Linked DNA regions of Oreochromis niloticus. The protein of the gene in region 1 interacts with the protein of each later gene in a pairwise test. Links are inferred from orthologs where the notes say so. Each region holds a gene or a part of one and is shown on either strand. Other genes may lie near its edges. The genes, in order: reep6 and snx15.

Region 1 (15,233 bases):
TAAATCCTGTTTTCATGGATGTTAAACTTAATTGTTACACCTGGTAAAGCAGCAACGCTGATCATTTTATTAAAGATGAAAGAATTTAGACAGTTTGTAACTCTCAGTGATGCCGCAGTGTTCGTTTGACTTTGGGACCTGAAGCAGAGTTTGGACCCGGCACGGCTAATGATGTCAGACTTAAAGACCGGATAACAATAAATACATGTCCTCCTATTTCTATACTGAGGATAGATGATTAGACAGAAGTCAGCACTTTAGCTTACATCATTTACCTGCCTTGAGGCCACTTCTGCTGCCTGCTTGCATCAACAGTACTGCATTTATTCTTGAGTAAATTATCACCTAACTTTATTTCTGACTGCTGTATTTCCAGTTAATGTATCTGCTCTGCCTCTGTGAATCCTCCATCTTTGTTGTAGAGTGTCATGAAAACAAAGGTTTAAACAAAACTTCCTACAGCTTTCCAAAAACCTGATTCAAGGAGCTGCATGTTCATTTGCATCATGTCTTCCTTGTAGCAGCTTAACCCTACAAATGAACACAAAGACAAACTAGCTGCTCTAGATAACATGTTCACACCAGCCACCTGGACTCACCGTCACTTTTGAGTCTTTCAGCCTCAGCTTTCTGTTCCTCTGTTGGGGAGTTTGGCGTGGAGTTGTTGTTGACCTGCGACTGAGCTGCATACTGACAAACAAACAAACAAACACTGGGTTAAATGACACTTCCTGTAAAACAACTATTAAAAACAGACAGACGGACTCTTCAGGTGTGCACAATCACAGAGAAACACTCATGTAAAATTAAAATTTGCTGCAACCTGCACTAAGGCCAGTGCTCCATTTTAAACGTTTAAAGAATGGCATTTGGATCTTCACCAGTATGTAATGGCTTGTTTTGCCTTTTGTAAGCCACAGCAAATAATTCTGGTATTTATTGTGTATTTCGTTTCAGCTCTGGCTTTGGAAGAGCAGTGAAATTAACTCAGACTAGCTGCAGGAAATTAATGCAAAATGTGCAGATTTGTCATCTCTGCAATACAACACTGAAACAGATCGGAAAGTTGCAAGGGTTTTCTGTGTTTACCTTTGCTGTAGCGGCGGTAAAGATCTCCGGTAACGTCATGGGGACTGCGAGACTCTGGTCATCGGTAGAAACGTCAAACGCTGTCTCCAAACACTGAACAGCAACTGAAAAACAATAAGACCATGTCAACAACAAGCTGGTTCCAAAAAATAAAATAAAAAAGCCACACAAAAGGAAAAACGATTCAATCTGTCGTGATCTTTCAACTACTCCAAGATGTGGAATCAGAAACATCCCTGTGCGTCCTGAGGTCTCCTCACCTGTTGGCGAGTTGGATCAGGTGTTGGGGGAGGATAACAAACAGTCTGGGAGCATGTATGGCCGGGTTTACTAAGGAACTGCACAAGTGCAAACTTGGTTCTGGTGTAAAAGTATTGTCGATATTTACTAGGAGAGCACAATGACAAGATTGGGTATAAGGGCTGGGAACTGAGATTTGTTGTGACTGACCCTGTTGCATCTATTTCTGGAAGTTCAGGGAGGAGAGTATTTAAGTCAAGCACACAAACTGATTTACTAAAATTTGCATGTCTTATTTTTTGCACTTGATAATGAACTGACTGACAGTGTTAAAAAAAAGCACAACTCTTGTAAATCACCTGTAAAAATAACCACACCTATGAGCGCTATTTGGAAATTGGCCCATAGTGAGGTATTCTCTTGGAGCATCTGGCAGAGGCTGTGGTCCTTTTCAATCCTCTGGGGGGAAAAGTGGATTAACTGAGGTCACCGAGTTAGTTAAAAAACTATTTGGTGACTGGACTTATATGCAGATGAGGTTTGTCTTGAGTTCTTCGGGTGTTGTGGGGGTTTCCTGGTTGACACGTCGATAAAATGAGAATCCAACTGTTTCAGAGGCACACTTGAGGATAGCGACTCTGGAACAGCCGGATATGGTGGTAAACATTCTGTGGCATAGGTGAACCTCAAATTCAGAAGAAACAATGAGGTTTTCCTACTGATTGAGGCATATTGGACCAACTCTTTATCCTCTCAAGGACACTTTGAAGTGGTGGGTTTACTCATCTAGACACCATTTGTTTTGTTAATCTAGAGAAAGTATTCAACAGCATCCATGTAGTGTTTCAGCATGTGTTACATGTACTATGCGAGCTATTTGGTCTCTATACTACTGCAGTGAACCAATGCCTACCAGGCACAAGTTTTGAATTAGTGATGGCAATGCAAACTGCCAGTCTGCCCTATGTCACAGATTCTATTAATAATCTTTGTGGACAACACAGGGCAACAGCATTCAGCAGGTGAAGGGTGTCAGGTTTAGTGGTCTCTGGGATCATCTCTTTGCTCCTTGTTAATTTATTACAATTCAGTTTTATTTATACAGCACACACACGACAGATATCTCAAGACACCGTATATTGTAAGATAAAAGAGGAACACAGATGACAACACAAAGAAGGACAAATTTAGAGAGTTTACAAAAGGTAATGACATGCAATATAAGGGCGCTGGGAGTGAAAAGAGGGGAAAGAAGATGACGAAGCAGCACTGGTTTCACAGGAGTTAAGCCCAGTATCTAAAGCAGGGGTGTCCAACTCCAGGCCTCGAGGGCCCCTGTCCTGCAGGTTTTAGATGTGTCCTTGATCCAACACAGCTGATTTAAATGACCTCCTCAACATGTCTTAAAGGGCGTTTCTCAATATGCGTACTTGTGCGTACTTGCGTTCTCGTGTACTCGTGATACGTCATCAGTCGGAGACCAAGTACTGTTCCAATTCGAAGTATGCATCAACCGAAAACGCGATGTGTTCTCGATCCGCCCGTTTTATCGAGCATGCATCGGTGTGGACTTGGTACAGCTAAATATCCCAGAATGCATTTCGTCCAAAACTCAACAGCGGACTCCCGGCACATCGTTTTCAACGCCCGCCCCCCCGCTCGCGGACTTCTCACTACTCAGGTTAAAGAAACCCCAGCAGCTGTCTATAGTATTGAGTGTCCACTAGAATAGAAATAAAAGCGTTCTAACATCTCACCTGCTTGTTTTTATTAAGGTATGTACACGTATGTACATGTACACTATTTTTATCAATAGAGGTTTCACTACTGAGGTTAAAATGATATATAAGTCACTTAGATCACTTCTAAATGTTAATGTTTGGTGTATTTCAGTGTTTTATTTGTTCCTGAGTAAACCGGTTTGGCTGTGATTAAAGTTAAGCTTCATAACATGTTACTCACAGTTAAATTAGGAGGGGACGGCAGTAAAAACTCCAGACCTGTGACATCATCACGTACGCAGGTGTTCCAACTGTACATATCGCGAGTCCGTGCTCGCGTTCTCGGTGAGTACGTACTCCCGTACTTGAGAATTGAGAAACGGCCGAAGTTCTCCAGAGGCCTGGTAATGAACTAATCATGTGATTCAGGTGTGCTGATACAGGGCAATATCTAAAATCTGCAGGACACCGACCCTCGAGGCCTGGAGTTGGAGACCCCTGATCTAAAGGCTCTGGCTGCTATAGTAATGAGGCGCGAATAGTTTGTAGCCAAGTGGGTAGCAGCTGGGATGTGAATAACAAATCCAAGTTCAAGGTCAAGATTTCTATTCAAACACTGATCTAATGTGCACTCTGGGTTGGGGAGAAGTACAGATATTTTTTTAACAGAAGTACAGAGACTTGTGTTAAAAAAGTGAAACAAAAGTGAAGTACTGATTAAATTTCACTCAAGTAAAAGTGAAAGAGTACAGGCTCTGAAATGTACTCATTTCTACCAGCTGTTTTTGCACAAAGCTAAGTAAACCTGTGCTAATCCTCGTAATGACACAATAATAGTATAGTTAGGAGGTAAAGTGAAATTTGGCTGATGGGTAAACCTGTAAGCCATCCTATATGTAACTTAATACTGATCATAAACAAAATAACTGTTGTGCACCAGCCCAACACAGTGCTTTACAGTACAGCAAACTAACTTGTTTATCCTGCATTAAATGGCAGGATTTTATGCAACCTGCATTCATAGACATGATGCATTCGTGCATCATGTCTATTTTGCAGGAATGTTACACATAGCTTCACACAATATATAGTATGTATGTGATTAAAAAATCAGGACATTACATGTAGCCTTTATATCCAGCTTGTCAATTAATTATCAGTTTGTCACTGGACAGTCCTTACCTTTAAATATAACCCCTCTTCGTCCTCTCCTGTCCTGTTTCTCCTACATCTTTCTCCATCTCTGACTCAAGTTATCTCTCATTCTTTTCTCTCCCTGGGAAATACAGCAGCTGGACCTTTAGTTAGCAAACACACTCCATGACAAACTGCACAAGAACAGTTTGTGTGTTTGCTGATGATTGTTGAGCAATTACAGAAACGCTGCACTTGAAAATACCTGCTACTTAACATGTTATTCCCTGTATGCTCGCTCCTCTTCTGTACAACTTAGGGATATCTGCACCAAGAACACCACTGGATTGTTCTGGTCCACTTAGCTCTATAAACAATGCCTCTTTCATTTCTTTGTACGTGATACAACCTGGTGATGGATACACCAATAGTACTGTCTTTTATGTGCTACTGGTCCCAACTGGGCTACTTGGCTCAAATCAGTCTGATGTTTGAAGACACAGACTAATGTCTTAAACCCAAAGTAACAAACCCATTTTGAAAATTTAAGCAGTAAAAAATACAGATTTGTGTAAAAATGTAGAGAGTCAAAGTAAAAAGTTGTCATAAAAAAACAATACTCAAGTAAAGTACAGATACTTAAAAATTAGTTACTCTACTTAATCTTGAAATATTTGTACTTCTGTTTCCTCTGCTGCTCCTGCAACCCAGACTCGGACATATGAAGCCAGACTATGTACGCTGTATACTTATATATGTTGTGGAAAGAAATATTAAACTGAACTTATTTTAGTGCTGTAGCTGACTCCGTCAGAAAATCTGCTGGCATAATAGTCAGTGATGATTTTGACCATGATCAAAGTCAAATGGAGTCACTGGAATTTTGAGCTTTTGTAATAAAAACAAATACAATAACAATAATAATAATTCCATACATTATGATCTCCCTGGTCCATGGTTATAAGACACTACAACACAAACTTATTCCCCATGAGAAAGTTTAAGTGTGCATTCTGAGTCAGGAGAGAAACAAACTGAGCAGCTTCATGTTGTTCTTCTTCATGTCTGAGGACTCACCTTCGAGACTCTCCTGAGCATCTGAAGACAGAGTGCCTGACTGGAGCTGATCATGGAGGAACTGGATGATGGAGAAAGCGAGGCGTTTGTTGTCTGTCATGGTGGCAGAGGTGCTGCGTCTCTGTCTTCACTGAGGGAGAGACACCCTGCAACTAAAACCTTATTTCCAATAAGAACCGGAACCCTGTAAATGTACATAATGCATGCAATGAAATCCAAATCACTTAAATGCCGCTTAAGTATTATATGAAAATAGTGCAGTGCATTTGTTCATTAAAAGAATATGTGCCAACTTTGAATTTGATGTGAGCAACATATTTCAGTAAAGTCTGAATTCGTACTACATAACCTCTTGTTTTAACGACACTAGGAGGAGATCAGAGGGTAAACACGGCATATCAGTAATGTATTCTGAGCCTAAAGCCAGAGTTTTCAACCTTACAAGTGTGGCTAACTTTAGTTCACTATAGGAATTTATGTTAAACACCTTACGCGGTACTGACCAAACCAGAAATGTTGCCGAGGCCGTGCATTTACACTATGAAAAACAGTCTGTTTTCAAAACTGTGCTGCCTGCAGGCCTAAGGGTCACAGGAAAAGTTTTTGTTTCAGCCTTTTCCCCTCATGAAATTTCTGCTAGCTCTCTAACTCTTTCTGTCTCACAAACTGCAGACCCCATCTTTAATTCTGAAATACTCAGCATCAGTAATGCCCTTTTTACACCTCATTATGTCAGTAATTAACCTCATCAGCTCTCAGATGTGTCTGATTTTTTTTTAATCACATCACTCTATATGTAGACATGCAGCATGTATTTATATGCATGCATGCATACATTTTGTTATATTTATTACTTTCCTTGGTATCAACCAGGATTGAGTACCAACTTTGATGTTTTTTGAACATACCTGCTTATTTTGAATTTGATCTCTGCAGCACGAAGGAATGCCTTTATTGTCATTGCACAAACTTCTTTGTTTCAGCCTCTGCTATATTGCTGTTTGGGGGGGGGGTGTAAAGTTTTGTGTGGTTATTCTGTCAGATGATGCTATTAATAATGCATTAACAACTAGTATCAACAGTGATTAATGCTCAGAGACATGGATGTACCTTCTTTCCACCACACCATCACGACGATGTATGTTTAGCCACCCCCCCTTTGGTATTAGCATGGAGAATGTTCTAGCAACTCGAGCACTGTGTGAGCAGAGCTAACGTTAACCACCTTTGAACATAAAACCATTACACAAACAGAAGAGCAGCTGATGCGAGCTGATAAAGGAGATCTGTCTGTCGTGTTTTAAACTGCTCAAATCAGTGAAGTTTTTGAGGAGTCACCTCACACACACTGACTCAAGATCTCTGGCTAATTTCTAGCTTAGCGTGCTAGCATACCAGTTAGGACAACTAAAAAATCAGCACACATCTAGAATTTATTTGGCTCTTCAGGATATACGTTACGTTTAAAAATGGGTTTCCTGGAACTGCTTTGGCAAATCTCGCAGTCTAACGCTATTACTATAATCAGTACTGAATTAGGCGGTTATGCTGTATTGGTGAAACCCTGACAACTTAAGACTACAGCTAACTCATCGGACACGAATGTATCTCTTTGAAGTTAACAAGCAGCTGATTTATCTTCCGACTGAGCATGACTCGAAATGGAAAGAATGTGTCAACAAAAGGACGAAGCTGATGCTAAAATGCTTGTATTTAGTCAACCCGTGTTACTTTCTGTATGCAACATAGGCCGGATTTGACAGATGATTTCGACAGTTAACTATATGTCTTTAAGTTTCCCTCTATTACACTTGAGGTTCGCTCTAGATTCTAGAAGAAAGACCACGATGTACTGCAAGAGATTTGAAAGGAGCTTGGCGTGACGTGTTCGCCAAACCACAGCGGCACGATGCTAACGGGTGGCTAGGTGATCATATTCCTTTGAGTACATAGGCGCTACTTTATAAATTGACCTTCCACGCTGCCAAAGCGAGGCTGACAGTACAGCTAAGCGTTTCTCCTACCTGTCGTCTCCGAGTTTCAGATGCGAATCAGTCCTAAAAAAGAGAATTTACGTTTGCTTCGCGTCTTTGAGGAACACTCACTCAGTTCGCTCATAAGCTTGTCGCAGAATGATGTCATCATGCGAGGATGCAGTTGAGGGGTCGTAATATTTTTAGCGACCTAACTCACGGCCACTGTATTATTTATTTTTTAAAATTAATTATTTATTTTAAATTGAACATACAAAGTCTGACAGAACACACAACTGTGAAATAATAGAAAAGAAAAAAATAATAATTAAACAATAATAAAAACAATACAGTGAGGGTTTTAACACAAAACACAACTTGTAGCATGTATGTACTCTTTGTCCTGGGCCATTCTGAAGGAAGCTTAAACTTCCGTCGTTCCTGCGCATCTTTATGGACACTAAAATTTGTACCCGACAGGGGCGCCGCCAGAATTTTTTTTAAAAGAGTGGCTATATGGGGACCACTAAAAACATTGGGGTGACACACAAAAAATAGAATTTCCCCTTTTATTATGCTGTTATCAAATATAGATGACTTGACAAAAAAAAAAAAAAATCCCCCAAAAAGAGAGAAAGTGAAGAATTTTATCCAGTAGTCTCACTCATTTTTCAGGAAGTGATGCCTCCAACCGGTGAGGCATCCTTTTTCTTCATTTCATTCTTCTTTATTATTATTATTATTATTGATATAAAGCTGGCCATTTTCACATGACAGTCACTTTCAAACTTTTTTAGAACTGCATTTTTTAAAGGAATAGAAATGAAGGTACTCCAAATATGCAAGAACAAAATGACCCTCAAAGGGAGAAGAGTCCATGTTAAATCAGGTAACTATTTAATTTGTTTTTATCTTTGATATATGGAAAACTGACTTGCATAAAGGAATAATGCCACCTTTTTATCAGGAAATGTGAGTTTTCTTGAAAAACATCAGGTAAGAGTATTAAATTCCCTTCAAACCTTTGTCATGGATCATATATACAGAAAACCTATCATGTTTATTACACTTTTTATTACACTTAAATAGCTGTTGTAACCTGTGTGCTTTGGACTTTATTCTTTTTACAATAGACTTTTGTCACTCCTCTCTAAAGTATTTTAAATTGCTCTAACCTGCACAAAAGTGTTGCACAGTCATTGATAATAATTGACTGATCAGTGGCTGAGCTATAAAGCTGTGTAAAGCCTAGCTGATATATATCATGTATATAGCTTCTTCACTTTTTACTCTGTCTTTAATAAATGAAAATATTTATAAAAAGAACTTCTCAATACCTCCTTGCGTGCTCCTCCTCCTCCTCCTCATTATAGCAGATTGTGGTTGTTAGAGGATTAAACTCGGCACCGGACTCACTGCAGGCTGTTGTCCTCCGACTTCTCTGTGGTCTGAGGACCAGATTGAGGAAAATGGGCCTGCTGAATATTATCACCTCTATCAAAGACCGAGCTGAAAAGTTTCTAAATGAGAAAAATGTGGTGACAGATATTCTGGGAAAAATGGAGGAGAAAACTGGGATCAAGAAGAAGGTCATTGCTCTTGGTACGTGTGATTTAATCTTCTAGAATTATTTTTTTCCCAACTTGCCTGCTTTGTGTAGTAGCACATGGCTACTTCTGGATCATTCTGCTCTCGTTCTAGATGTAGTTGATTTGTATAAAGCTTGTTGCAGGCCAGTGGAAACCTGAAGAGGATTCAGTTAATCCTCCTGTGATCAGCTGCCGTCCACAACAGGAAGCTGGTAATGTTCAGGAGGTTTTCTGCTTCATTTATTCTGCAGTTAATCCTCTGCACTAATAAATATTTTGTCATATTGAACTCAGATAAACTGGCTCTGCGGCCCTTCGGGGTTTTAGGATCATTAAGCTCCTGGTTTTGTGGCAGTGCCTGCTTCATTGTGTCCAGTTCTTTGATAGGACATGTATCACCCTGAGCTGAAAGACTAATGTTTAGTACTTTCTCTGACTAAGCAGCGATGGGCAGAAGTCTCTTTATATCTTCTTATGTTTTAGTTCTTGGATCAACTATGTTAGCAGCTTTAAAGGACTGGTTTTACCCCAGTTTGATGCTGGTCCTACGCTCAGCTTATGTGTAACTTTTTGCCTGCCGCACAGAAGACCAGTCATAAAATGAAGTGAAACCGAGTGTCAAAAACAAAGAAGCTGTCCTATAGCCACTGTCTGAACTTCTCATGCTTTTTAAAGGTTAAGCATAATCTTTATCACATTTCTTCCTCACTGTTGTAACCCGCTATCACTTCTTTCCTGTTCTGATCCAGTTTTCAAATAGTCAGCTTTATACCTAAAAAAATGGCTTAATTGGCGATGTATACACTGTTGGTTTTGTGAAGGACACACAAGCACATCTGTGTAGGCTTCATACCAGGAATCCTTCACTCTGAATGGGTAAATATCCACAAACACTAATGTGGTTCAAAGAAACCTGCGGTAGTCCCAAAAGCTTTCTGCAGCTGTAACCTTGAATAACTCTCTGTCTCTTAAAGATAACTCTTTATTGTTATTGCACAGTCATATATGGTACAATAGTACAATGAAATTGGAAAAACTGAAACTGGGGCTAGTATCTTGTGTGGAACTAAAGCTGTATTTTTTCCACCTTTAATTAATTTCTCTGTCACATTTTGGCTAAGTTCAGACAAAAAAACCCAAAACAAACTCTGATAGGACACCAGTCATTGTTTATAATGACGCATAATTTCATAAGCATAAAGGGCAACCTTAAACAATGACAGGTGAAATAAGAGAATTATAACTGCTTAGAAACAATCAAAAGAATTATCCTACCCACACTGGCAACTCATCCAGTCCCCTTTAAATCAAAGTTTCACATGTTTGCAACAACAAATGGAGAATATTTTAAAAGAAATTCTGTTACAGCAAAATACACAAGACTTCATTTGAAATGTCACAGATTTTAAAATGTTTTCACCAATTTAAAAACAAAGCTATACAAAAAATAAAAAATAAAAAACATTTTTGGTAATCTTTTGGATATCAAGAGGGTAACAGAAGCTAAGGTTGTTAACAGGATTCTTTCTTTTGACTTTATTTTATATCTTTAGTGTCAGTTGTTTCCTAGACCATGTGGTCCCTAACATGGTCACAACACGTTAGCCATTTAGAGGGAGGCCTATTAATTATTTTTAGTCCTGTGTGGACCTAACAGAAAATGTTCTCAAGAAAGCATCACAAATGAATTCAGATCAAATATCCTTCTTGATCCCGGGACTCAATTCCTTTGGTGGAAGGTTGAAATTTTCAGCCTTGGAAGAGTTACACAGACTCTCAGGCTGCTCTTGATATTTAATTATTTGGGGTTTAAGTGCAAATAATAAACATTCACACTCCAATGAACGCATGGATTGCCCAAGGATATTTGGCATGCAGACTGGGGAAGCCATCCACCAACCTTCCAATCAGTAGCTGATCTGCTCTACCGCCTGAGCCACAGCCACCCCAACAAAGGTCTTGTTGGGTTTCTGATTTCAAGAATTTTAATTAGTTTACACCATGTTACTTCATCTTCATTTCTAAAAGGCAAATCATCCAAATTAGCTAACTGAAAATGGGGGTGAGTGTAGCTCAGGTGGTAGAGCAGGTAACTGGAAGGTGGTTCAATCCCAGTCTGCATGCCAAATATCCTTGGGCAAGATATTAACCCCATGTTGCTCTCCGATGCATGGATTGGAGTATGAATGTGTGTAAATGTCAGATAGTAAGCACTTAGAACCAGCTATGAAAAAAAGTGCTTGTGTGAATGGGTGAATGTATAAGTTGTGTAAAGCGCTTTGAGTGCGCAAATAGAGTAGAAAAGTGCTTTCGTCCATTTACCATAAAAATGGCTTTTCCATCCAGCTCTGACAAAGAAAACCTCTGTGGGTTCAGGAGTTCATTGTTCAGGTCGAAATAAAAAACGTTTCTGCCATAAAATCTTAAAGGCAAAACCTCCATACTTGATTTGTCTACGGTGAGTTCAGTAAAGGTTATTCAAACATCACAGCAGTGTGTTCAGTGTTAACAGAAAATGGGAAGAGAACCATCACTTTACTCTACTTCTGCCTTTCCTGCTGAATTCCTGAAGCTCTTGCACATTATATTGTTTTATAAATATTGTCGACATTTTTACAAGAAAGTTTTGTTGTTTTCTAAAAATAAATACAGATCAAACAGTGTATTTTGTTGGTAGTCTTAAAAAGGGCTCTCAGGTCTGTGTGAACACAGTGATCCAGTGAGCAGGGAACAGCAGTGTATTGAGAGCACGTTGATGCTGGTGCAGTGGATTTGTAGCACATTAAGCAGGACATGATGTCAGCGTGGTGCCTGGTGCTCGCTGTCTCCCGCTCTGAGCCTTGACGTTAAAGCTGATTATCCACAGAGACAGGCAGCAGAGCAGCGCCGCCTCCATGTGTGAACAGCAACATAAGCTGATCAGAGGTAGGACACTTTTTTACAGTACTTCCTGTCCGTCTGGCTGTCAGACAATCAGTGAAATTTTGCTTGTTGTTCAGATTTGTTTTGATATTTGGGTGAAATGTCCACATTGTTGGCCTGTGAGCCCGGGCACACTGTGCAGAGAATATACCTTGTTATTTCTGTCTTACACGGATAATGAAACAGGTTTTACTTCCTGTTCATGATGGACATTACCTTTCTTCATTGTAAGTTATGGAAGGTTATGAAATATATGGAAATGTACATTAAGGTGGAAGCACAGATCGCATTGCTGCCTCTTAGATAGAAGAAGTCCTGAGTTTGAATCCGGTCTGGTGCCTTTCTGTGGGGAGCATGCATATCAAGCATATCTTTTAATGCTATGGCCCTGTTCTTTCGTCCATGTCTACATTGCTGGTCAGTAAGAAGTCTTTCGCAGGAAACACTTTCTTCTGCATTAATTTTGTTCCAAATTGGTCGAGTCTGTGTTAAACTGGCTGTTTTTTGCAATGCAGTCTAATGAAATAGATTTGAACACTTACTTGTAAAACTGTTAACTGCAAAAAAGTTTGTGGAAGTCGAGGCTTGTCCACTCATACACCCCACTTATGCATTGTGATTTACAGGAAATGTTACTTCAGAGCGTAAAAGAAAGCAGAGTATAACTCCTTTAAATATTTGAAAGACACATTTCTCAGTGTTTGTATTCCAGACTCATATATATATTACTAAATAGCAGCAGTACATAGAAAACAAAACATCTGTCTTCATCCAGGTGCCGTCTCGCTGACCGGACTCTACCTGGTGTACGGATATGGTGCCTCCCTCCTCTGCAACCTGATTGGTTTTGTTTATCCAGCTTATTATTCGTAAGTTTTTATTTCTCTTTTTTTCTATTTTCTTTTCCTCGTTGTTGTAGGAAGTCATACTCAGTGGATCCATGTGGCAGTCTCATAGGACAGTATAACAACTGTGCCTACAATACACTTGAGTTTTCTCAGTATTATTATCTTTTTGTGACATTTTTGGCATATATCAATCTTTTCAACAGTATATATTTACTGATATTTGGACATTTTATGCATTTATATTAAGACATTTTACTACATTTCAAAAAATAATTTTATTATAACTTTTCAGACATTAATGTCATTAAGCTTAAGGAAGTTGTCTGATGTGCATTCTGGTTTTGCCCTTGAAGAAGCACAACTGATAAAGATGACTTTGTCTGGATAATTTGGAGGTGACATCATTGAAATTGTGACTGATTTTATTGTTAAAGTTCATGATATTTATATCTGTAATAAGGTTCAGTGACTAAAGCAAATAGTCGTGTTACTGGTGCAGAGGCACAGATGTCTTTATCATATTTGAAGGATCAACATATTTCTCAGCTCTTTTACAATATTCCAACTTTGTGCAGAGTCAAAGCCATCGAAAGCCCGTGCAAAGAAGATGACACAAAATGGTTGACCTACTGGGTGGTGTACGGTGTCTTCAGTCTGGGCGAGTTCTTCTCTGATATTTTCCTCTACTGGTTCCCATTTTACTACGCTTTTAAGGTGAGAAAACATTTAGGAACCAATGATATGTGCTAGACCCTTTTATGGATCACCCTAAAGAACAAAATGCTTCTTTTAGGCTGAATTATAGAAGCAATACTGCATTTATATCAACTACTACCTTTTTTTTTTTGAAGGACTATGACCATCATACTAGAATTGAGATCAGGTAAAAGGTTTTAGTGATTCCAGTAATCTCCTTCTTATGTGGTTCCAGTGTCTCTTCTTACTGTGGTGCATGGCCCCAGTGTCCTGGAATGGCTCACAGATTATCTACAACAAAGTGGTTCGGCCTGCCTTCCTTCGCCATGAGGCCACAGTGGACAACATGGTCAGCGACCTCAGTGGGAAGGCCATGAGTGCTGCCGAGAACCTCACCAGAGAAGGTATAACTGGCCCAGGACCACCGCTAGGGCCTTTTACAGAAGATTTAAATATGTATGTACTTTCTCTCTCGTTCTTCTCCCTCCTTAGTCCTGACCACTCTGGTGAAGAACAAAGCTGTGATCACACCATCGCCACCTGTTGCTCAGTCTGAAGCTAAAAGTTTACCAAGTACATCAGGAGAAACATCCACAGCTAAAGTTGGTCCATCAGAGATGAACGAAGAAAGAAGAGTATGTAAAATACACGTTTTCACCCTTTACTCAGTCTGTCCACCTTGAACTATATCAGTGAAAGCAGCTTACTGCAACTTGGAAATTTGCAGTCTGCTGGTTTATGTCCTCTCTACAGGCTGCTGAGTGATGTGTTCTCATTTAGTAAGCCTTGTAGCATCTCCCTTTACTGTCAGTAACCTAACTGGGAAAACTGATCAGCAGTCCCTTCAATATAGAATCCCACTAACACTGTTTATGTAGCGGATCGGTACTTGGCGTTCAAAGCAATCAAGCATTGTTTAGATCAAGTGGCTCTGATGAAAAGGTCAGCTGATTTGTTTTATTTTATCATCTTTAAAAGTTGTCCACATAACTTACAGAAATCCACGGTTATTAATGACACCTGTGGCTGTTAAGTGGACTCCAGTTATGATTTTGTTGCTTGTGTTTGGGTAAAGTGGACTCACAGTTGATGCTGGAACAGACCTGTCCTTCATCTACATCAAGTGTTTATGTGTTCATATAGGAGATGAGCAATAAACGCTGATCTTTTGCTAATCTTGTTACCTGTTCCAGCCTTTCCTGGGTTAACCAGTTTGGTAAGTCAGCTGGTTAAGTGTTAAAAAGTAGCACAGTGTTGTACAGACAGTGAATGTGGTGTGAAGCATGTAGACCAGCAGTGCTTTTAATGGTTTGAAGCTAAAACAGACAGGATACTTTATCCTAGGTGTGAAGACCTGAACAGACCTTTTAATACTCCCTCTTCAACTTTACCTGCTGCTCTTAGTGGTCCAGAAGAAACAGAAGCACTAGAAAATGATCTGCTTAGTAGTTTTCAACATTGGGTCAGAGTAAAGATCAGGACCAGAGGGTGAACTAAAGGCCCAGTATGAGATAAATATGTTTAGAAAATCAAATTTACTATTATTTTTTTTATTTGAAAGTGTGTCCAGAATTACACAGTCTTACCAATTGGAACAGCTCTGCTTTCACACTACCTACACCAAAGCAGAACATGTGGGTTGGATGTGTATCAACATACCATGGTGGCAGAAACTTTACGCACACTCATCATTGGCATCATCTGCATGAATCTCATGGTATTTGGGGCTTTTCAAGATTTCTTTGAATTGCTGGAATAACTGTACACCTTGCATGTTTAAAAACTTGAAAAAAACAAGAACTGGATGCACTTTGAACTGATTTTGGATTTTCTCTAGTTCACACAGTCATATACCCCCACTAATTTTTGGTTAAATGTCCATTATCAAGTTGCACCTGGACTGGGGATGGGTATCGTTTAGGTTTTATCCGATACCGGTGCCAA
Region 2 (15,727 bases), on another chromosome or scaffold:
AAATTCAAGAAAATGTTTTACTGCACTTAAAGCAAATGAACGCTTGATCAGTGACAGACTGAACACACCCACACTTACCTTAGCACCGTCAGTTTCTTCCTTCTCTACATTCCAAACCATCTTCGGAGCTTCTCTGGTCTGGTTTGTTTTGTTGCTCATCTGATTTGCCTGAAGGCCAATTTCATCTCCGTAGGTAAACACAGGGGTTCCAGGCAAGGTGAAGAGCAGAAGCTGGTAGAGACGAATCAGGCCCCGAGTCGTTGCCCGTTTAGACAGATGGTCCTTCTGAGCAGCACCGAGACCCCAGCCTATTTTTCTCTGCTCAGAGTGGAGGGTCTCCAGGTCCCTAATGCGCTCTTTACCTGTGGATATTCAGGTACCATAATCATCTACAAAGCACCTTTTTGACATTTACTTAGGATTATTGCCACTGACAATCATCACTACTATGCAAACAGTAGCAGCCTACCTCCCGTGTTTCTACTGAGCAGGTCGGACAAGATTAGATCGACACCAGAGACATTGACTAGCTGAGACACCTCATTAGCTGAAATACTGTTGACCACACCCATCAGAGCCCTAAAAAAAGAGAATAGGATCAGGTCAGTGAAGAACTTGCACTTCTTATACATCTTGAAACACTTCCTTGAATGTTGATGGGACTGCATTTCATGTCCATGTTCTCTCAGAAGACCGTATCCTGTACCTGATTTTACTGATGCTTTTAAAATTACCTTTCCAGGACAGATCAGCCCTACAACTTTGTTATCATATGTCTGGATATTAGCTAAAGTTAAGAATCTAAAATAAAATACCCTGTGTAGTGGCATGCATTGTTTACTTGTGCTGAATCACAGGTCACAACATAGCAGCCACACTAACCTCTTCTTGGTGTCATCAGTGCCATTTCCCTGGACAGCCATCCGCAGTTTGGCCCAATCAGGACTGGTGGAGGCAATGCCAAGGTCAGATATCTTGATGCCATCAACACCCTTTTCCAGCCAGTATTCGGCTGCAGCCTGGAAGAGAACAGATTCAAGTTAACTACAGTGGCAGCAAGACCCGAATCCACACCACAGTATATAATGTCCAATTTAATCATCTGTCCATGGGGCCAAAAGTCAAAAATGTGCCATTTGTTTATCACATGTAAAGACAGTGATGTTGCTTAATATGCCTTATTACTGCAAATAATTAAATATTAAATCTGTGTGCTTACCTTGACTTTTTCCATTATTTCTTTACGGTCTTTTTCGTCAAACCACACAGGATTTCCTTCGTAGTTTGGAGTCAGGTCAAGCACCACAGAAATGCCTGAAAGAAACAGCAAAGCAAATGTTTGCTCACATCTGGTCCTCAAGAGTACAGAATCCAGCAATAAGTAGAAACCACTCTTAATGAAAGAACAGAGCACCAGTTACTCTTTTAGTGTGAGCGATTTAGCAAGTAACTGATCTGAAATCAGAAAATTACGTACTCTTTTTGTGGGCCGCCTTCAACAAGCTATCGAGATCTTCAGCATTTCCAAACACTGGACTAATTTTTTGAAGGTCCAGAGTCATCTTCTCGTTGGCGTAGACAATATGAAGAGGTCCGATAACCAGGCTTTTCACCTTTAGCTGATTAATGTCATCCAACTTTCCTTCAACACCTAAAAGAAAAAAAAAAAAAAAAAAAGGTAGTAAATGAAATGCTGGGTCAGTGTGAATTTCACATAAGGCAGAAAAACAAGGGTGTGAGAAGCAGAAGGGTGTGAGCAGGTTAGGGACAGAGGACAGACAGACATGTTGATAGTTAAGACTGTAGCGCCGCAGTGCTGGCAAGACCATGTGAAGGATCCCAGCCTCTCCCTCTGCTGGCCATGTGAAGCCTGAGCACAAGGGTGGCTTTGATAAAGAGAACAAAACTGAGTCACGTGGAGTTTTTGGAATTCCACCCAAAGCCTGTTAAAACCAAGTGCTCCCCACCAGTTCACTTTATGAACAGTAGTAAGCACTGTTCTTCCTTCCTGTCTTTAAAAAAGCCTGTAGTAAACATTTTTTTGATATGTACAGATCACGACATCTTGATATATTCCAGAGTTGCTCAACTTGGCTGTATCTGAATAGAGATACGAAACAGATGACGTCTTCATTTTTTTAAAATGGTCTTAAGACCTTTAGTCACACTGTGGCAGCATAGTCAGCAATTTGATATCTAGCCAGCTGACACAGGCCACAGAGAACTAATGAAAGCCAAGAGACTGTCACAAGACTTTATCCATGTAAGTCAGAGCATGTTACCCAATTTCAGACTGGGGCACTTTATAGTGCAAGCTCCAACTCTTATCTTGGGAATAAACATGGCAGCGCAATAAAAAAAAAAAAAAAAAAAAAATTTAAATGCAAGAACAAAAGTAAGTTTCTTCATAAGCTCTCCCAAAAAAAAAAAAAAAAAAAAAAAGTCTACCTTTCAATCCTTCAGAGAACGCTTCAAGGTCAGTGATCTGGTAGAGAGGCCCTTCATTCCACCAGTTCATCTCAGGGATAGACTTGCAGCGAGGAGCCTGGACTATGATTACAATGGCTCCAGCAAGCATACCAATCCAGCCCAACCAAAAGAGGACAAGAAGAACCCAGCGGGTCCTCACCCATCTGTGGAAGAAAAACGAAAATAATAATGTAAAAGTGTCCACTGATTTTAACGCCCACAGAGGAAGACAGCTCTTAGCTGCAGCTCTTACCCTGGAGTGCCAGCAACCTTCATCAGCTCCTCTTTGGACAGCCCGGTGAAGGTAACCTCATCATCGGGAACTTTCAGCTTGACGCTGCCATTTTTCTCCCCGCCTGGAGCCTGACCGTCCCCCGTCATGGGCTGCTTCTCTGGGTCGAGCTCATTGAGCTCCACTTCTTTCATGTCGATCTCTGTGTCTTTATTCATGGTTTAACTGGAGGTGGAGCACAAAGGAAAATTATGAATTAATAACTTTTATCTGCAAAAGCACTTTCATTGGCTAACACCCAAGAGCTAACCCCCCCCCCCCAAAAAAAAAAAAACACAAGACCACCAAAAGGAGTAGAGGGATTTGGTTTTTTTTGTTTGTTTTTTTTAAGGCAGTACCGGCCAAGTCTCATCCCCTCGCCTTTTGTCTACCCTTATGTAACACATCCCCCCCTACACAGGACATACAGGCAACGACTAGATTCATTAAGCTAGCCCAGTTTTTAATGTAGGAATTAAACAGGAGTGGCGGTGCTGTTCCCTAATATATATATATATATATATATATATATATATATATATATATTTCAAATAAACGGAAAACCCATTCTTGAGATGCTCATATGTTCCACCGGTGTCTGATGAAACAATTACAACTTCTTACTTCACGTGGTCAGCCTCGAGTTACGGAAATATTGCAGCTACCCTTCAAAATAAGTGCATAGCAATAGCAAACAGACTTAAGAAAACGATTTAAACAAATGTCACGACTAAACGACAGTGAACATTTGTTAGTAACAACAACAAGAACAAAAAACAAAACAAGTAGCTCTCTGACAGTTTAATATAACTAATATAATACACACATGGCTTTAAGATTAAAGTGGTGTAAACCGGAAGTTTAGTAGTTGACCGGTTTGTTCTAGTTCGCTTCAACAGTCATTAAATAAAAGCTCTTCAAACAAGTACATCGTAAATGTCTGTGAAACCTTCACCGAACCCAATAAAGTTAAAATCGACCCGGTAGCAATAACAACTCCAAAAACTGTGTGATATTGTATAATTCCATCTTCCTATAAGATGATGAAATCAAACCCGTCCCTAACGTCACGTGCTTGTACACGAGGCAGTTTATCCGGCTGTGAGCTGAAGACTACTCCCGGCGATAACACGGCAGGTCTGAATTTACAGAGTGGCAGAAAAGTTGATGAAGTAAATCAAATTACCTGTAAAATACAATGTATAGTCCCGGTTTGGCTCTTAGTTTACAGCCGGTTATTCCTTGTTCTCTACTAAGCGTGTAGAGAGGATCAGAGCGCATATTTGTACCCGCCCTGGTTTCTCCGCCTACTGGGGGAGCCGATAATCCCTCCCTCTCTCTATCTCTCTCCTCCCTCCCTCCCCTCCTTCGCTTGCTGTCTCTCTTTCTTCCAAGAAAAATCCTAAGAAACAAACTAATAAACAAACTGAACGCCATGCTCCAAACTAAGAAAACTTTGTTCTGTTCCTTCTTAATGGTGTAAATGAAACGCTCTACAAAATGCTGTTTACAAGTTCACATATCAGTTATTATGCAAACTGAAGATAATGCAGTTTGCTTCACAGGCAAGATGATTGGTAATGTGATTATCTAGCTGTCTTCTTCTGATCAGTTGAGATTGCCACTCTGTGTTTCACTGATCTAATTTCACGCCTGAGGACCTTTCTGTCGCCTTCTTGGTTTGTTTTTTTACCTTGTTTGCAGTGTTTAAGCATAAACAGCTGACCATTTAGTCTCCTGTGATCACGCTGAGTCTATAGTACCGAAACAACAAAATTTGAGTTGAATTGTACTTGCAATGCTTCTCCTGGGAGCTGATCAACAGATTAAAACTGAGCATCTTTTCCTTGTAAAGGTATAAAATATGTTGTTGGGCCCTGTTTGAAAATGTCAGGTTCATGCTGCTGTGACTTTATTTTCTGTGTCGATTCTGGGTTAAAGCTGATCACACTCATGCCGATGACAGATTATTTCATGCCAACACTAACAATGTATATCTCTGTTGGAGACAATATTTGGGCGCAGCCAATCTAAAAACCAACATCCTGCTGTCCAAGTTTGGGCTCTAAATCTTTCTCCAGCTGTTGTTGACCTTCATCAAGTTACAGTAAGAGAAGTTACAAACAAAGCTACAGAATTTACTTCCTAGAAGTAACAGTAGACTTCTAGGAAGAGCGCACATTAAATAAGTATGTGTGTGGGGGGCATGTTTTTCACCCTAATTGTCCAGTTTGCCGTACACTGATGTGATTTATCATGACATAGAAGTTAGACAGAATGAAGGCAGAATGCTTGGATTTATAGTTGCCGTAAATGTTTGCATAAATGAATCATACTCGTGTGTGTTTCATGTAGTGCAATGGTGCAAACTTTGATTTTACAGTTTGCAATTCTCCCTCTGCTCTTACAGTGCAACCATAACAAAGAACCTTGCTGGCTGTCTGTGATATAGATGTGTTATCTGTGTCTTCTCAGGCTGTTTGTTGCTCTCTACTCCTCCATGTCTGCACAGTGTTTTTGCCCTTTACACGACCCTGGTGCTGTTTCTCTCTGTCTCTGCTAAGCAGGGCAAGAAAACAACTTTCTGCAGTGACAGGTAACTGCAGAAACACGCTCCACCACTCTGCTGTAACTTAACCCCTGCATGTGTACGCTTGTTCTGTGCTTGTTGTGTTCACAGATGTGACATGTTATGGCACTTAATTTCAAACTTTTTTTTTTTTATCTGACCACTTAATCAGTTTATTTTGTAGTGATACATCCAATATAGTCCACTGACTCTAACAGCTTGGGCTTTCAGAGTCCTGTAACAGTACTGCAACCTTTACTAGGAAGCATTTATGTACACCTGGCTAGTTTTGGGTTGGGACCCCCTTTTCAGAGCTGCATTAATTTTTTGTAATAGAGATTCAGCAAGGCGCCAGAAACTTTCCTCAGAGATTTTGCTCCATATTGACATGATAGCATCACTCAGTTGCTGCAGATTTGTCAGCTGCACGTGCATGATACGTTTCTCTTTCCACCACATCCAAAAGGAGCTCTGTTGGATTTAGATCTGGTGACTGTGGAGATCATTTGAGTTCAGTGAACTCTGTGTCCTGTTCAAGAGGCCACTTCGGAGTATATATACAATCAGGCAAAAGATAAACTAGAGTGGCGGCTATCTGTTGGGAAGTGGAAAGCCTTTATGATCGGCATTAAAAAACTGATTGAATATGAGTGAAAACGAAAAGAAAGATATACTTAATCAAAGTCCCACAGAAGATTTTTGTCTTATAGATTAGACCATGATCTTCTTATATGCCATATTTGTCTTCAGGGACTAATTTTTGTCTTCCAGAAACAGTGTAGTGCCTGTTTATTTCATTTTCAGACTTCACCACTGGTACATGTTCTTCTCTATGTGGATATATCTCGGTCAAATCTTAGGTAGTGGTAGGGAGGGGTGTCTAATTTAAGATGTGTGACATTAAATCTATTTATACTCTGCTGTTGTTCAGCTTAGTCATTGTGCCAGGCTTTTGCTACCTGATGTCACTAATTTTAAAACCTTTCTAAATGTCTTCTGCTGACTATTTAAATATGCCCAAGAATCAAATCTAACTTTATAACCAGTGTTTGGCAGCTGCATATCTACATGACGACGATAACGTTGTTATAGCCTCTCCAAACACGCGCACTCGTGCTCGCTTCTCCTATTTCACCAAAGTCAAACACACGCCATCTGTTTCTGTTTTTATCTCAGCCTGTTGATCATGTGTGCGTAAGTAGCAGAGTCAGGTTGTAACAGAGCTGCTGAGCATTGGCTGATGTGGACAAACTGTGCTTTCCAGCTGGGAAGCATTGAGGATATAACAAGAAGTAACGGAATATGCTCTGTTTTTCTGTAAAAACAGCAGAACTGGGAGGAGGAGTGAGTAGATCAGGAAACAGGCGACTGGAGGAGGGAGGAGAACTAGGAATGAGGGGAAAGAGCAGACAGGCAGAGAGAGGGCAGGGATGTGTAAACATGTTTTTGAGCTGAGGGTGAGGAATATGTTGGAACAAAAATTTGGAGCGGAGCACAGCTCGGGGTATTAATGGAAGCAAAGCCTAGAGCGACGGAAAGACCGTTAGTGTCCTTTTCGCACATGTTGTCTCAGCCCTGTGAGGTTTTCAGTTCTGCTTAAACAGAGTTTACAGGATAAATTGGTCAAAATCCAAGCAGCATTTGAATCCTCGGAAAACCGAATCAATCCCAACTTGGCAATAAAAAAAGAAGTAAAAAAAAACCCATCAGCCACCATCACAACAAGTTCTCCGAGGACACGGAGGGACTAATTCACTCCTAGACTTGTCTTCTTTGTTTATGCCTTTGGCAGAGGAGGAGGGGACGTTCTGCTGGAGTCTATAAGCCAGCACACAGACCCCCACAGCATAATAACAGAGAGGAAAGAAGGCCAAAGTTGCTGAATAGTTTGGTTTTTTCTGTTTTCTCAGTGGACGGGGGAAGAACACACAGGGATTACTGTGCATTACGCTCCACCTGTGGTTCAAGGTCACAGTTCACATTACCATAGTAACTGATTGTGTAACAAGATCAAAGTAGGGCAAATTAGGAGCTGATTAGAAGTACTGTGTGAAAGCTTTTTGCTTAGATTTTTAAAGTTTAGATTAGTGTCAGTCAGTCAGGGCTCGAGTGATCATCTCACTGAATGCAGTCATTCACGCACACACACGCGCGCACACATATGGCTACACCAAGAATGGTCTGATCCCTGTGAGAGAGTTTATTTTGTAAGACAGCATGTGCTTGGGAGGAGAGAAAAAAAAGGAAAATAATCAGCAGTTCAGACCAGTTCAGACCAGTCTGGCCGAGAGCTTACGCTTTCATCTCATTGTTGCAAGTTCCCTGCAATGAGCTCTCGCATTCAGAGTTCACACCGAACGAATGAAGTTCGGGGAAATGCTGCTTTAATCTCATCTAAAAAGTGCAAAGGTGTATTCACAGATTGATTTGTTCACCTCTTCAACAAACATGAGCATGTTTGTCTTTTGGATCTACAGCCAACAGAACATGCGTGGCTACATTTTGTGTCATGGATAGAGGGGAAAGGAAGAATCCACCAATGACTGTGCTGCACTGGTGATAAAGAGAATTACTTACAGAGCGAAACATGCAATTAATCATAATATACGCACGTGGACTTTGAGCCATATTGTTTAACGTTAGCGCTCTCAGTTATGTAACTAATATATTGTCCCACAGCGGGGATCTGATCCCACACGTGTGCCGTGTCTTGCCGACTGTACATTTCGTAACTTTTCTGCTTGTACGCTCTCTTCTTCTGATTGTTTTTCTGCCCATAAAGCAGCGCCTCCTGCTTCTTCCTGTGACAATGAGAACGAATGACCTAGTTTCCTCTCACAGACAAAGAGGAGCCTGTTCGGTTTGGAAAGCCTCCCTCTCTTTAATTTTGCATGAATGGAGCTAATTAGTCAGTTCTCCTTAAAAATGCACCATTAAGAAAAATATATATATATATATATAAACGATCTACAATAATACACCTCACACACTGCAGAAATTACAGAGCACACAATACTGTACGTACACACGACTTCTGCTTTTAAGCTGTTTGAAAAATATACTTGACATATTTAAAAGAATGCCTGTTTTAGTTTGACTTTTCCTGTCTCCCCTGTATTCCCATCACCTTCTCTACCATTACAGCATTTTTCTGCCCGGTTCTCTAAACCCTCTCCCCTCTGTTGAGCCCCTCTCTATATAACTACCCACCTCCTCCTGTCAGCAGGAAACAGTGGTTGCAAATTATATAAGAAGGCCCCCTTTTTGTGATAAGAATGCAAAACAGCTGAGCCATGTGAAGGGCTTTGCGACAGCTCCTCCTGTGTGAGCAGAGTGGCGCAGCGGAAGCGTGCTGGGCCCATAACCCAGAGGTCGATGGATCGAAACCATCCTCTGCTATTTTGACTCCTTCCACCCAAACACAGGTTAAACACATACAGGTACTCCATATGGACCTGAATAGGACATTGCAGCATGACTACAGGCTGTTTGCTGAGCTTAGTTTCTTAGTCTGTCATTGTCAATTCCAAACGAGTCTGGCAAGTAACTCCCAATTAAACATTTACGTCATTTTGGTATGCTAAACATTTTCTTATAATTTAGCTGGTAATTTGCCAGAGAGACCAATAAAGATGACAACTGACCTTTGAGCTTCAGCCTAAACTCAGAATCCTGTTCAAAGCTTTGAGAGGAAGGCTTTGGACCATTGAATATAAGGATCTTCAGGATATTTTGACAATTTCAAAGCCTTTGTGTTGCTGTAAATAGGTGAATCAGATATATCAACTGAACATGCCTCTGATCATTACATTTATAGCCTATGGGAAACAGATAAAAGCTTGGGAATACAGTGTTAGGGGATGTTAGACAATATGCACAGCTGGAGCTTCCTCAGTAACGTCTGTTGTTGTTCACTTTGTTCTATTGTCTCAAAAAGGGTATGTACAACACTTTTATGTGCCTTTTTTGTTTTAGCGCCATCTTTGATGCAGAATCTGTTTCCTTTTAGCAGCACAAACACAGTTTTTGGGGGTTTATATGAGGAAAAACACAACAAGTCATAAAAATAAAAATGAGTATCTTAATTTAAAATGTTTAAATTGAGTGTCTATGCTGTGTTGAAAACTACGAAACATTAGAGCACCCCCTGGAGTATTTCCCTCATAATTACATGTTTAATACAAGTTAGAGGGAATTTTTATGACTGTTTGTGACAATGTGACTAATAAACCGTGACCGATCAACAACAATATTAAAATCAGAGAAAGGTAAAGTGAGTAACATTATGGTTACAGTGGATATGGATACAGTTGACCCAGTCCTGACTGTTATCTTCATATATTCATATAATTATTGTTATATAAATTTTTACATCTATATATAGTTTTAATATATAATTTCATCTTACTATTCCAGTTTTAACCTTTAGATGTTTTCCTCGTATTTGCGTGGGGTCTCCCTGGATGCTCCGGCTTCCTACCACAGTCCACAGTGCCTCTTGTCCTAAGACAGTTGGGATTGGGTCCATCCATAGTAGCTTCTTAGATTTAATTTATATAAAAAAGAAAGAAAGAAAAACGCATGTAAAAACTATGGACTCATTTAAAAAAAAAAAAAATTTAATGTAAAATTTTATTTTCATATACCTAGTGGAGGAAATAATTTTTTTAACATTAAACTGAATAGTTTGACGTCTCGTCTCTCCTACGTAATCACGCATTCGTACACGTCACCAACCAGGAAATGAATACATCCACGGAGAGGAGGGGCGAAAGAATCACAACAGAGCCTTTGACTGTTCGCGTTTCTTGCCGCTAAAACAACAACGCCGTTTTTCTTTTATTAACGAGAGCAAACATGTCACGGAAACTCAAAGAAGACTATTATCGGTTCTTCTCCGTTACCGACCCACGCACACACGAGAAGGGCCACACCGAATACAAAGTAACGGCGAGGGTGAGTTTACACTGTTTATCTCTCCTTAGCTACAGCGTCATTAATTGAAACCTATCGTAGAGCCGGGTGTAATCATGCTTAATAACTACGTGGTTAGCTGTTTTGCTTATTACTTGCCAAAACATATTTTAAATTTAAATGCGTAGCACAAAGGTGTTAGCTTAAAAGTAAGTGACTTGGTATTATTATAAATAGTGTGCATTTCTAACAGAGTGACAGACGACCCGCAGCTAGCTCATATAAATAAACAAATAACTATACAACGGGCCTTTTATTTGAGGCAGTGGTGCACAATGAGCAGTCAAATGAAACAGAGAGAACTTGTGATCCAGTTCATGAGCACCCTCATGACTACAGAGGCATGCCTATAAAGTCAAAGAGGATCATGTCTTCATAAGCTTTGTTCAAGCACTCATTGGTCTCTCTTAAATTTATAATTTAAATCGTGGCCTCTGCAGTGTTACCACAAAGCAAATCTGCTGTGTCTCATTGTTAAACATGCAGCCAGTTAAGCGACATTTACTTTATTCTGTCATCTGCAGTTTGTGTCCAAGCGTCACCCAGAAGATGTGAAGGAGGTGGTTGTGTGGAGGAGGTTCTCAGAGCTGAAGAAGCTCCATGGGGAGTTGGCCTACACGCACAGGAACCTGTTCAGAAGACAGGAGGAGTTTCCACCTTTTCCCCGAGCACAACTTTTTGGTACATGAGTAAAGATTGTGTTATGCTTTACATTCCTGTGGAGCCTTTTATGCAATTATTGCTTTCATTCCTGTTTTCAGACTTTCATCACAATTCTTGTGACATTTCCTCTCAGATTTACTTGTCTTTATAAGAAGTGACATGTTTAGCGTCGGTCTTTTTGCAGAGCTTTGGTTTGTGAGTTTTGCCTGTCGTGAGCTGTGTTGTATGTTTTTGCTTATGAACTGAGAGTTGTCTTGTGGTAGTGTGGCCGAGCGGTCTAAGCCGCTGGATTAAGGCTCCAGTCTCTTCGGAGGCGTGGGTTCAAATCCCACCACTGCCAGCATACAGTGCTCTTTTAAAATTTCATTATTTACAGCAGGTAGCTCCATTTGTTTTAATCTGACCCTTCCTGACAGAACCCCAGAGGGTTTTGTGTCTCTATTTAAATATTTTGAAGTAACTCATGAGACTAATTATCAGAGAAATCGTGTGTTCAAAAGTATTGGATCAGACTTGTCCAAAAATGTGCATTTGCTATAATAATAATAATTCGAGGGGAGCGTGTTTATGTGTTCTCTGTAGATCCTCTGCCTTCCTCCTGCAGTCTATTTGCATGAGTGTTGAAAATGAAAAGCAGCTGTGCTGTATTTTTTTATCAGGTCACGCTGATGAACTTCGTGATGAGAAAAGTCTGAATGGGAGGTGGGCAGTTCACTGTCGTGTACAGCAACATTGACGATCAAGCAATCGACCTTTACCTTTGATCTTTTTACAGTGAGTCATAGCCTTCGAGCGGGTAGTGTGGCCGAGCGGTCTAAGGCGCTGGATTAAGGCTCCAGTCTCTCCGGGGGCGTGGGTTCGAATCCCATCACTGCCAGCATGTAGTAGTCTTTTAAAATCTTGTTATTTGCAGCAGGTAGCTCCATTTGTTTTAATGTGACCCTTCCTGACAGAATAATTACCTGAGAACTGTTCAAAATATTTGACCAGACTTGTCCAAAAATGAGCTTTTTTTTCTAAATTTGCTATAATCAGATGCATTCGAGGGGAGTGTGTGTATGTGTTCTCTAGAGATCCTTTGCCTTCCTCCTGCAGTCTATTTGCATGAGTGTTGAAAATGAAAAGCGCCTGTGCTGTATTTTTTATCAGATCATGCTGATGAGAAAAGTCTGAATGGGAGGTGGGCAGTTTTGTGGTAGTGTGGCAATGATGAAAGCCTGAAATCTCTGTGGACCTTTTGTTATGATGTGTACAGCAACATCGACCAATCAAAGTTAATTTCACAGATAGCATGTCAGAACTGTGGAGTACAGCCCTCTCTTCAAATGTATTCTGAGAAAGGTAAAATGAGTTAGGACAGTGAGTCATAGTCTTTCAGCAGGTAGTGTGGCCGAGCGGTCTAAGGCGCTGGATTAAGGCTCCAGTCTCTTCGGGGGCGTGGGTTCGAATCCCACCACTGCCAAGTAAAACTTTTCATTTGGCAGTGGGAAGTTTAAGACACACCTCTTTATGTTTTAATTAGAAGCATCATGTTTAGGGTTGATCTTCTTGCGAAACTTTGTATTGTGTATAAAAACTCAAGTGTAAATATGGTTCAGCAAATGGAGGAGCATATTCCGGGAATGGTGCGACTCCCTGCAGAGAGTTTTGTTGTCGATGGAGACAGTGTCAGGTAACTCGGTCTGCGGTCCGCTGTTCCTCATGCTCATGTTGGTCCGTCAGCCAGCTGAAGAGAAGAGCAGAGTTATAGTACACAAAGAGCTGAAGTGGCTTCATTTTTCAGTGGTTACTAAAATCAAACTGCAACCACAGCAAATCAGTTGAGCCGTACCTATAAACAGTAATGATTCATGAGTTCATTCAACTTTTCATGCCCTGCTTAATATGAAGTCAGACTGTTTGGCAGTGGCAGCAGTTTTAACCTCGACAAATGGCGATTACTTAATGCTAACGGCAGCTTCAGAAGTGAAAAAGAAACTGTAACACTTCCCTTTTGTCTCTTGTAATTTTAGGAAGGTTTGATGGGGCTGTGATAGAGGAAAGGAGAAAAGCAGCAGAGGCCATGCTTCAGTTTACTACCAGCATTCCTGCTCTGTATAACAGCCCACAGCTGAAGGAGTTCTTCAGAGTAAGACACACTCAGAGAGGCACTCTTACAATCAAAATCAACCATTACTCAAATCTTAGCAAACATTAAACGACAGAAAAAAAAAAACGTATGCCAGGTCAACGTTCATTTTATTACCAGACCCCATTTTCTCTAACGCTGCCACACTATCCCTTCCCTTACTCAGGGTGGTGAGGTAACAAGGCCTCTGGATGCCACACCTCTCTCTTCTGCGGGGTCTCTGCCTCCTCCTCTCATCCCCCTCCCCAAGCGTAGGGCATCAGACTGTGAGCCTGCTGAGGAAGAGGAGGGCAGGGAGGCTCCCACCTTGCCCCAGGATCTGGGCAATAACCTGAGCTTAGAAGTGGGAGAACCAGAAGTGGCAGCTGAAGCCTACAGTGAGATCGGAGGATCTCCAACAGAAGAAGAGCAAGAGGAGCTTAGCGACACAGAGCTGGATGACCGAGGTAGAAATCTCACAATGTGTGATGGTCTGTTATGTCCTTATTTAATTCTTTTATTCTTATTGTTGTTCTCACTTTTGTGGTCCGTGTTTTCCCTCCAGTCCCATCTCCATTCACGGACCCCGAATCAAAAGAGACCCAGGAAGAATTCGACTCACTGTTTGACTCTGTGGCTGAAGGACTCCCATCCCCAAAGGAAGAAGTTCCTCCTCCACTGTCTGATAATGACTTGGCTGTTTTCGATCCCTGCTATAAACAAGGTGATGCCAAAATAAATGTGAATGTAATCATATAAAGCTGATTTTAGTCTTCCCGAATATGTGTCTTATCCATTAACGCTTTTACTTACTGTGTCAGTGGATAAGAAGATGTCTGTGATCAGTGTTTTTTGAGGCTTCCTGATAACATATACTAGTGTAAATGTCTATACATTTATGTTGGAGCTGCTATTAGGAGGTGAGCCAGTGCTGTCAAATATAATAACAGTCTTCCTTCACCTGGCTTTTTTGGTTATAATAAGTAATAATAACAATAATAAAAATAAATAGAAGTACAATAAAAAAAAAGCATTTTTTGAAGACCATTAAATGTTGCAGTTCTTGAGTTAATCTTCTAGGTGAAGGATCCAGAGGCATCTTCCAAATGTTTATTTACATTTGGTCTCTAAGTGGTCAGGAAGTAGTTCAGAGTGTCATTACAGTTTAAACACAGGCCTAGGCAGTACATTCACATTGGCTGTTTTGTTTAATTAACAGTCCCAAAAATGAAACATATCAGCAGACCTTAACTGCTGTTTCCGGTTAAAAACATCACATCCAGTGATTTATTTTAGATAGTGACTTTTTAAAACCTAACAAATAAAACATAAGACATAGTTAACTAAAGACAATATCACTACTACTACAATATCTCTTTTTCTTTGATTTACAGATAGATCCAATTCTTCCACCGACCACTCGGAGTTGCTCTCACTACCATCAAACAGTGTGGACGGAGAGGACGGGGGTTACTTAAACCAAGCTGCCAAGGAGCTGACAGCTGCCATGGAGAGGGAGAAGGAGGGAGAAATTAGTTCTGCCATTTGTGGGTACAGGATGGCAGTGGATATTCTGATCACTGGAGTACAAGGTGAGCCCTTGGTGTACAAAAGAATCAGTGGGTGGGTGGAGAAAGAGAAAGAGAGGTGGGAAGAATATAGTTGAAGAGATACTCCTGTAAGAGCTAAAAATACTGATGAAGGAGCTGAGGAGACGGGTGAAATACTAGGTGGTTGTCGCAGTGGTGGAAAATTAGAATTACTAATCTGCTGTGAACATTCTGAGTTCAACAAAAACCTTTTATTTTTTTCACATGGAGCATTTTACTCGAATGCTCTCTGTCATGTCTATTTCTGCATCAATTATTAAAACAGCTTTGTTGCTATGGCGATAGACCATGAAATCACTTTGTCAACTGCAAAACCTGCAGAATGCCAGACGGTGCACCATGTCCAAATGAAAAATAAATTGTGCGGTTAGGTTTACAGCTGTGACGCCTCACCGACCATATTCAAGCACTTTGTCTGATGTGCTGCTACCATGCCGATAAATGCGCCGTTAACAACTTTACTCTCCTGCTTTACCTGTTATTTTGCTGTAAGTTGTTGTGTTACTGGCAAGTAAGTTCTGACATCAGTTGTCTATGGGGAATTGTGCGTTTGTTTATGGCCAAAGGGAAATGTTGCAACAGTTCTACTCTTCGTCTAAGGAGCTTGGATTGTGACTTACACCCATTTTCACACCTTGGCTCATGTGATAGGGGGACAGTCCCCTATGTCTAAAGGACCAGAATCAACTTTCAGCATGTCCACCCACACTAGTGTGTCCTGATGCCTGATGTGCAGGTAGTGTGGCCGAGCGGTCTAAGGCGCTGGATTAAGGCTCCAGTCTCTTCGGAGGCGTGGGTTCAAATCCCACCACTGCCACTTAAACCTTTTCAGGTGTGGAAAATGCAGTTCAGTAGCTTCATAAGAAGAACCGTGTTTAGAGTTGCTCCTTTTTGCAAAGTGGTGGTTAGTTTGTGAGACCTGAGTTCTGCCTATTTTGGATTTTAGCCTTTGTTAAATTAAAAGCTGCTGTACTATTTTTTTTTTTTTTATCATGGCTGATGATCTGAGTGCTGAGAAATTTCTTAAAGGGAAGTTTGTGGTAGTGTGGTCGAGTGGTCAGGAG

What was found.
Region 2: the proteins of reep6 (region 1) and snx15 interact in binary tests that used the Homo sapiens proteins (3 or more experiments, as listed by UniProt). The two-hybrid records come from large-scale screens. The link is inferred for Oreochromis niloticus from reciprocal best matches to the Homo sapiens genes REEP6 and SNX15.

The regions. Positions count from the first base shown.
Region 1 is NC_031980.2:37,187,593-37,202,825, forward strand, and holds the start of reep6 (receptor expression-enhancing protein 6), read left to right. Parts: upstream 1-8,609; 5' UTR 8,610-8,703; coding exon 8,704-8,836; intron 8,837-11,381; exon of another isoform or gene 11,382-11,717; coding exon of another isoform or gene 11,718-11,748; intron 11,749-12,520; coding exon 12,521-12,614; intron 12,615-13,168; coding exon 13,169-13,307; intron 13,308-13,524; coding exon 13,525-13,693; intron 13,694-13,781; coding exon 13,782-13,924; intron 13,925-14,482; coding exon of another isoform or gene 14,483-14,497; exon of another isoform or gene 14,498-14,505; intron 14,506-15,233. UniProt on the Homo sapiens protein: Required for correct function and survival of retinal photoreceptors. Required for retinal development.
Region 2 is NC_031967.2:10,486,607-10,502,333, reverse strand, and holds the start of snx15 (sorting nexin-15), read left to right. Parts: upstream 1-10,029; 5' UTR 10,030-10,166; coding exon 10,167-10,265; intron 10,266-10,807; coding exon 10,808-10,964; intron 10,965-11,204; exon of another isoform or gene 11,205-11,286; intron 11,287-11,741; exon of another isoform or gene 11,742-11,823; intron 11,824-12,326; exon of another isoform or gene 12,327-12,408; intron 12,409-12,958; coding exon 12,959-13,074; intron 13,075-13,240; coding exon 13,241-13,520; intron 13,521-13,618; coding exon 13,619-13,777; intron 13,778-14,447; coding exon 14,448-14,645; intron 14,646-15,398; exon of another isoform or gene 15,399-15,480; intron 15,481-15,727. Other genes in the region: slc3a2a (solute carrier family 3 member 2a), read right to left, coding at 79-362, 470-579, 883-1,019, 1,220-1,314, 1,478-1,651, 2,449-2,633, 2,723-2,919. UniProt on the Homo sapiens protein: May be involved in several stages of intracellular trafficking. Overexpression of SNX15 disrupts the normal trafficking of proteins from the plasma membrane to recycling endosomes or the TGN.